2 linked regions of the Lytechinus pictus genome follow. The protein of the gene in region 1 binds, or shares a complex with, the protein of each later gene. Links are inferred from orthologs where the notes say so. Each region holds a gene or a part of one and is shown on either strand. Other genes may lie near its edges.

The links.
Region 2: the proteins of WD repeat-containing and planar cell polarity effector protein fritz homolog (region 1) and protein inturned-like are in contact, whole or in part, in a cryo-EM structure (PDB 7Q3E), measured with the Mus musculus proteins. The link is inferred for Lytechinus pictus from reciprocal best matches to the Homo sapiens genes WDPCP and INTU. Residues at the interface, in NP_663400.2 of Mus musculus: Phe3, Cys4, Leu5, Ile24, Leu51, Ser54, Arg55, Asp56, Lys93, Leu385, Ala386, Glu387, Asp388, Tyr389, Ile427, Lys446, Leu447, Gly448, Ile449, Leu450, Thr451, Arg452, Gly453, Leu455, Leu462, Gln463, Ile465, His466, Tyr467, Gln487; in NP_780724.3 of Mus musculus: Val481, Gln484, Val488, Asp491, Ser495, Asp496, Glu498, Ala499, Ala500, Asp501, Ser506, Glu507, Asp508, Arg513, Arg514, Thr517, Ser532, His533, Leu534, Pro535, His574, Tyr593, Glu610, Gly613, Cys614, Ala615, Ser616, Lys617, Ser653, Pro654.

The regions. Positions count from the first base shown.
Region 1 is NC_087251.1:37,388,328-37,392,258, forward strand, and holds the start of WD repeat-containing and planar cell polarity effector protein fritz homolog, read right to left. Parts: upstream 2,471-3,931; 5' UTR 2,449-2,470; coding exon 2,388-2,448; intron 732-2,387; coding exon 687-731; intron 1-686. UniProt on the Homo sapiens protein: Probable effector of the planar cell polarity signaling pathway which regulates the septin cytoskeleton in both ciliogenesis and collective cell movements.
Region 2 is NC_087249.1:39,380,867-39,384,797, reverse strand, and holds the start of protein inturned-like, read left to right. Parts: upstream 1-1,267; 5' UTR 1,268-1,467; coding exon 1,468-1,604; intron 1,605-3,931. UniProt on the Homo sapiens protein: Plays a key role in ciliogenesis and embryonic development.

The sequences.
Region 1 (3,931 bases):
AGGGATACTATTACTTTAATCATAATTTCAATAAACTGTTATCATAATATTCATAAATCAAAATTATTATTTTTATCACATGACTCTAATGGAGTCACTCCAATAATGCATACATAAACCAAGTTTGAAATTAACCCCTTGGGTGGTTCTTTCATTATCGAAAGAACGTAAAAAAGGATAGATAGATGGATGACCTGAAACCATCCACTGTGGGCAGAGTCATTAAAAGATATTGTTTGGGATATGGTTGATATTTCATAAATCATTATCAAACAATAAAACATTGAAATTAATCCCTCTTTAGTTCTTTAGTTTCAAGAGAACATAAACAGGATGGATATACCGATGGCCCCAATCATGCCACTAGCAACCATCTACATGTGTTGTGGGTGATCATAAACAAAAATATTACTTAAGTTAGCAATTAGGATTTATTAAATCTTCAAATACTCAAAATTAAAAACAGTAGAATCAACTTCTAAAATGGTTCTTTACTTCAAGAGAACATACAACAGAACAGACAGATGGATAGACAACCAAAAACAAGCCTCCAGCAACCATATACTGTAGGTAGAGTCATACATGTATAACAAATAATACATTACTTCAGCAGTTATGGTTAATATCATCATTTATTAACCAATCATTAATTATCAATTATTAAACTATTAAACTTTATGTCTTACCCATGTCTCCTTTGTCATAGTAGCTATGGCATCCAATGTTTCCATCTAAATTTTATATGAAATTATCACAACAGATGATAGAATGATGAACTATGCAAAAGCACTTTATCAATGTGCATTTCCATGTTTGGATTAATTATCATATCATCTTGGTTCAATGAGTTATGCCAAGAAATATATATTATCATATCACGTAACAGGGGCATTAATAGTAAAATAAAATTAGACACCTATCAAAACAGATATTACTTTCATGATGCAACAGACAGATTTACAACTTTCACTCTATGCTTAAAGCATCATAACATCTCAATTCATCTTCACTTGTCAAACAATTAAGGGAAGAATTAAAGTTGACAACTTTATCGGGTATTAGTTACTGTATAGTATTATCATTATTTTTTTATTATTACTATTATTATTATTAGTAGTAGTAGTACTAGTAGCAGCAGCAGCAGTAGTAGTAGTAGTATCATTATTATATTTTTATTGTTATTATACTAGCAGAGATGCCAACTTTTGGAAATCAGAATTAGGGAGGATTTGCAACCGACACCAAATTATGTGCGCATAGCGCACATCTCGAGCGCGGAGCGCTCGACCCTTGCGGCCGGGGTCGAGGGCCCGCCTTAGGGCCCTGGAAGCTCTGGGTTTCTAGATGCTCTCTGGTGCAATCTGACCCTTATTTTGGAGCATTTCACATGTTTTTAAAAAAACATTGTTCCCACTTTTTTGACATAAAAATAAAAATATCAAATATGCGTATGTAAAAAAAATGAGGGGACAATAGAAGAAAAGTACCTGTTCAACTATAATAATAAGGAATTATCCTCTTTATTATTATTAAAGCGCGGGTAACGTCTTCCTCCTCGCTGGTCCCTTGCTTGGTGAAATAAGTCAACAGGGTACTAGTGGAGCTCGAAGATCTCGTCTTCGCAATGTCCGTATGCCGTTTGCTCCCTACGTGCTTCCGAATATCATCACGACCTCCGTGCTCAACTTTAATGTCCACGCTGCAAATTGTGCAAAATGCATGGTAGATTCCTCTTTCCGAATACACGGGTACTGGAGACTGTTTTCAGTCTTATACTTCTGAGACCATTTCTTGGTCTTTTTTTGTTGATTTTCCGCCATTTCGTGTCAATATCAACCCATCAATACGCCGAAATCACACACCGATATTCCATCGCACGACTCGACAAATCCAGCGGCCGCGAGCGCACACGCCTCGCGAAGCTAGCCAGGCCTACCGGCCTGGTGCACAGTGGATTCCCGTTGGGCATATCACATGCACCAGCTTTTCGCTGCTCCTTATTTGTCTGCCTTTCACACAGAATTTAGTAGCAGCGAAACGTAATGGAGTTACTACATGCTAAAGTCAGCAGACGATACATGTACTTCCAATCCAATTTGATCAATGCAAAAAAAAATCGTAATTTCGGGAGGATAAGGATGGTAATCGTAAGGGCGGGAGTTGGGATGAATTTTCGGGAGCCTCCCGATGAAATCGGGAGGGTTGGCATCTCTGTAGTAGTGAATAAATTGACAAACACAATGGAGTAAAACAAGAACAACCATTTATAAAACTCTAATCTCTATTACAATCAATTAAGAACTTTTAATTTTTTTCAAATATTTTACATTTTTTCATATTCTTTATCAATGTTACTTTTTTAATGTTCATTTGAAAGCATATTTTACCTTTGATTCCCATAGCACCTTTCATTGACCAGATGTACAGCTCAACCAGACACCCTGCCATGTTGAAGTAAATCAAGTTTTCAACGAATAGATAACTCTAATTTCTACTTCTTCTACCATCAATGCCAGGCTCTATTGGTGACTGGGGATCTTTTGTCCTACAATGTAAATAAAAAATATTGTTTTAATGAAAAAAATATTTTAAGCGAACATTAAAGCAAACTATTTTTAAAAATAAAGGTATAAACTATATACAGTATATTTAGGTGCAATAATATATTTTGACTAAAAAATAATACAAGAATTTGGATCTGAATAAAGAGAAGGTGGAAGTCTGCTTTTCAGAAGCATCTATATTAATAAGTATCCATAAGTAGCTTTTCAAACTTCATTCAATTGTTTAATTGTTTCACATGGAAATCCTATGGCAGTAATCCTTATACATTGGGTAAGTGCATGTGTGACATAATCTCACCATCATAAATTCATAATCATATCATGAATGAAGTTGAAGAACATCTTGTGCAGCTCGTGCCTCAGACGGAAACACTCCGTACCTGTACCTCATCTCATTACCCGATTGATTCAGTTCATTCACCTGTCAAGTGCAGACACCAATCAAGTGTGCTAGTCAATCCGGTTTCATAACATTAACAAGATTATTGTCATGAAGAATAGACAATGAACTTGGGGGATTGAGGTCACTGAATCTATTTCTAGCACACTATATCCCTGTAATTGACGTCTATGTCCCGCAGGGGTAAGTGAAGAAAAAAAACTGTCCCCGACAAGGACAATCTCATTTTATCAAGACACGATGACGAGTTGTCTTGGTTTTTGAGGTCTGAGGATAACCTTGTTTCTGGGACAATCCCAATTTTTGGACCGGCGCTACGATCTACTGATTTTCAAACTACCTTTTGGCTTGCGTTGGACAGACTGGATACAATTTTCGGGATTCCCAATTTTCTTTTTTAACCATAGAAAAGACTGGAATTTGGAAAAAACTTTGGATCATCAATGATCAAGCCCGGATTACACTCATTCACGATGACGAGACGAGTTGAGATCAGATCTTTCATTGAACTTTTTTCACCAAAAAATCAGGATTTTATAATTTATGTACAACAGATGGTTACCACCACAATTCTCGACCTCATCCACTCAAGGGTTCATTACATGCCGCTGCGCACAGAAAAAACAAGCCATAGAAGTCGTGTGGTTTTTTTTCTATGTATATTTTGTTTACTTATGTAACTTATGATTAGATATGATGTCCTTCTTTCAGATTCTGTCTGACCTTTCTATATATCTCTTTCTGTCTTTCTCTCTCCTTCTCCCTCTATCTCCCTGTTGCTCTTTCCCACTCTCTCGTCTATTATAATCGCCATCATGTCACTTTCCTTCTTTTTTTTTTGTTACACATAATTCTTATATTTGTAATCTACAATTTGTTGTTTACTTGTGGGGTTTTTTTCCCTCAATTTCCTTTTTTCCCTCTTTCCTTTATTTTTGCTACATCCCCCTTTCTATTCTCACCTTTT
Region 2 (3,931 bases), on another chromosome or scaffold:
TTATCTCGCATTTCAAGACAGGGTAAATTCACACTGCGCTTTACATGAAACAAACTTCTTTAAACATTTCAAACTTATGTCTTCATGCATCAATCAACATACTTTAAATGAATACAAAACAAAGTGCATCTTAAATAAAACAAAAATAAATAAATAGTTAACAATACAGAAAAGATGTAGCTGCTGCAAGCTTAACAACAAACTAATGTATACCAGTCAGTCCTGATATCAGTATTAGTGTAACAATAGTCATATAGTGGGAGCATGAAGTTGAACAATTCATGATTATACATAATTATATATGTTTGTTTGAATAATACTTGTTATAAAGATAGTAGTATGGTACTCTCTGTCACGAATTATTATGTATACTGTTGTATCACATTCATTTTCTATTCTGTTTTAGATTGCGCTGATGCATTTTGCACACAATGGATAATGCCTATAACACGAGTGGGCCAGACCACACATGTATTTCAATAAAAACCGACTTGAGAAAATAACGTGTATATAAATATATAGATAAATAAATAAATAAATGCATATAATGTATATATATATGTATAAATATCATATACCTGTAATATAATCTGATATAAACTAATAAATAAATAAATAAATATAATACATATCATATATGAGAAGGTATTGCTAGTACTCGGTTCGTGCCTGAAAAGTAGTCTCGATGAAAAGAAAAAAGTTGTTGCTTCATTCCCATACCAAAAACAGCTTGATTAACAGTTGCTAATCAGATAATAGAGACATGCGGTAAGTTGGTTAACTTACTTAAGGAGCATTCATGGCTCAACAAACAAACATATCGGTCTCTTAGTCAGTTTTACTTTTGTAGTCTTGCAAATTTGTGTCATAGAAACCAAATATCTTGCGCCTCTTTTCGTTCCTGCCCAGTAAATACTTGTAAGATTTTCTTTTTTTTACCGTCTGAATTGACTTTCACCGTGTGAATGCGGCTAATAACAATAAACACAATTACAATAATGATGAGGATTATTATTATCATCATCATAATTATTATTATTATTAATATTATAATTGTTATCATTATTATTATTACTATTATTATCATCATTATGACTTATTAAGTAACCAAATATCATTCCCCAAAACCTGGGGGGGATGATTGTACATGCCATCCCCCCCACCTTGTGAGGTGGGGGGGATGCATCCCCCTCATCCCCCCCGTTGTCTACGCCCCTGCTCACGGAAATTGGTGCCGTGGTTGGGGTTCGAACCTCGGGCTTTCAAAATAGTCAGGCGCTTTAGACCACCGGTCCGACCACGGCTCCTCAACTCTGCCCAATCATCAAAGTAGTATGCCGCCATCTATTGATGGCTCCCAAACAGGTATTTGTAAACAAGATGGCGATGCTGAGGAGGGTGAAAAATAATTAATAACAAACATTTCGAAAGCTAGATTGTTGACGATCTAGAACAGTGTCATCAACAATGGACGGCTCCAAAAGAAGAGCAAATGTTCGCGTGAAGTATTCAGGAGAATCTGTATCAAAGCCCAATTTACCAACTCCAGAAATAGTTGTTGATCATGACACCGCTTCGGATGTGGAATACAGCGACGATAATGAGTAGGTCAACAGGCTAGCCAGGCGGGGCGGTTGGGCACGGGAAAGACTGGGGGCTGCGTAACCCAGAGAGCTCCGGCCCGCTTTGCGGGCCGGAGCCCAGGACTTGTACTCGTCCGTGTAATACGAGGCAGACATATGCTCTCCAAAATGGGGTCGCAAGCCAATAGCACTCAGAATAAAAGGGGAAATTATAAATAATGCACTGACTTGCCTCTATTATGGAGTAGTACTAGTGTCACTACTATAAATAGTATAAATAATTAATATTGTCATTGTGAGACACAGAATCCTGACATGGTCATCGAGGCACAAACTGGACCCTCAATTGTCAAAAGGAAAAGTTAGACCTCTGAGGCTCTGTCGCGTTGGTTCTCGGTGTCGATCGGCCATTTTTTTTTCAATTTTGACAGAAGGAGAACGAACGAGACAGAACTTTTCCTTTTTTGAGGGTCCAGTTTGTGCCTCGATGTCGGGATTCTGTGTCTCACGATAGACCTTCATTTCAGCTTCATCCATATACACATTACATGTATTAGGTAATCGAGGTAAGTGTATGATTTATATTTTCCCCTTTTATTTTGAGTGCTATTGCGACCCCATTTTGGAGAGCATATGTCCGCCTCGTATTACACGGACGAGTCCTGAGCTCCCTGGGTTTAGGGGCTGCGCGGTACGCTTGCCACGCCACTGGCTTCTCTATGTGAAGAATGAAGTGTACTGTGTAGACTGTCTAGTTTAATGTTGAAGGGGCAGTGAGCTGAAGAAATCAAGAATGAGGGGGCATTTGCAAAAATGAATGTGTTAATCTGGGCCTTATGGTTATGGCCTATCGTGAAATAAGTCAGCTCTTCTTGTGTGTGTCGGTGCATTGTATCATGTGCACTCGCTGTGAGCTGTGTACAAAGTCAATGGGAGTTGAAAGAAGTCACCAGCACTGACAAAATAAACAGTAGTGACTGGACTGGGACTTAAATCAGGAATCTGATTGATGTGATTGTGAATTTGTGACTGATAGAATGGATAATGATGAGGTTGTAACTTTTGTTGGGGACCAGTCTTGTGGGGGGGGGGGGGTTGAGGTCAGCTTGGCCCATTATCCTGGTTTCAGTCACCAGTCCATTCACTGCCGTTTATTTCCCTAGCTATTGTGACTTCTTTCCACTCCCATTGACTTTGTACACAACGAGTGCACACACACAAGGAGAGAGGTGACAAATTTCATGATATTAAAGGCCGTCAGCTATTAAAGAAAAAAGATGTTTGATTTGAGATGGGGAAGTGGGAGGATGATAGGGGGTGTCAATTGAATTGTCTTGATTGTCTGCTTTTATAGGGGTGCATACAATGGGAGAAATAGATAACAATTTACCTCTGTAAAAACCAAACACTTTTTAGTATGAAAACACAAAATTTTGAGCTAGATTCATGTTTATCATGTAGATCTCCATGTCAAAACCTCCAGCATGAGTATTGTTGGCTTTAAGTTTGAAATTTTAATCAGCTATTTAAAAAAAGGCATTGTTATGTGTGCTAAAACTCCCATAGAAGAACGTCAATTTTTTGTGTGCTAATTCTTTATTGGCACCCCCCCCCAAAAAAAAAAAAAATGTCCATGTGTTTTCTGCACGGTACACAGCTACAGTTTTATTGCATCCTGTACTACAGTAATCTGGCCAAAAAAAAAATTTTTGGAGAGATTCATGCCTAATTCTGCAATATTGGATAATAGTCCAGTCAATATAGGGTTTGACCCACCACTAATTGCAACACGAGATATTCCACTGCAATGCTTTCAAGGAAGGTCCCCTAAACAACATACTAAAAGTCCCAAGAAATCCAAGCAGTGGAAATTTATGAAATTTGCATATTATGCAAATTAGCCATAAAAAGTTATAAAAATAGGGAAAATAGCCCAAAGATTACAAATTGAGTGTCCAAAACAATTCAATTTGAGCGAAAATTCATGATAAATAACTTTTTCAATGTTTTTTGTCAAAAGTGCAAAAAAATCTACCTCATTTGAATAATATGCAAATAAGCATCCTAATATGGAAAAATGTCAAGGTATTGTGATTTTTCTCTCATTGTCTGCTTGAAAATTTCATTAATGTTGGAATTTACATGCTGCTATCACTAAGGACGTTGAATAAATTTGTAGTCAGCTTAGTGTATGTAGTGTAATTTGCATATTATGCAAATAAAAGTATCTAACATGTTGTAAATATTCAAGAAAACATACTGGTGATACATCCCTCAAAAATTGCAAGTAGATTATCTATTGAAATTGGAATATGGCAATACCTCACAGGAAGGTTTCCTAAACACCA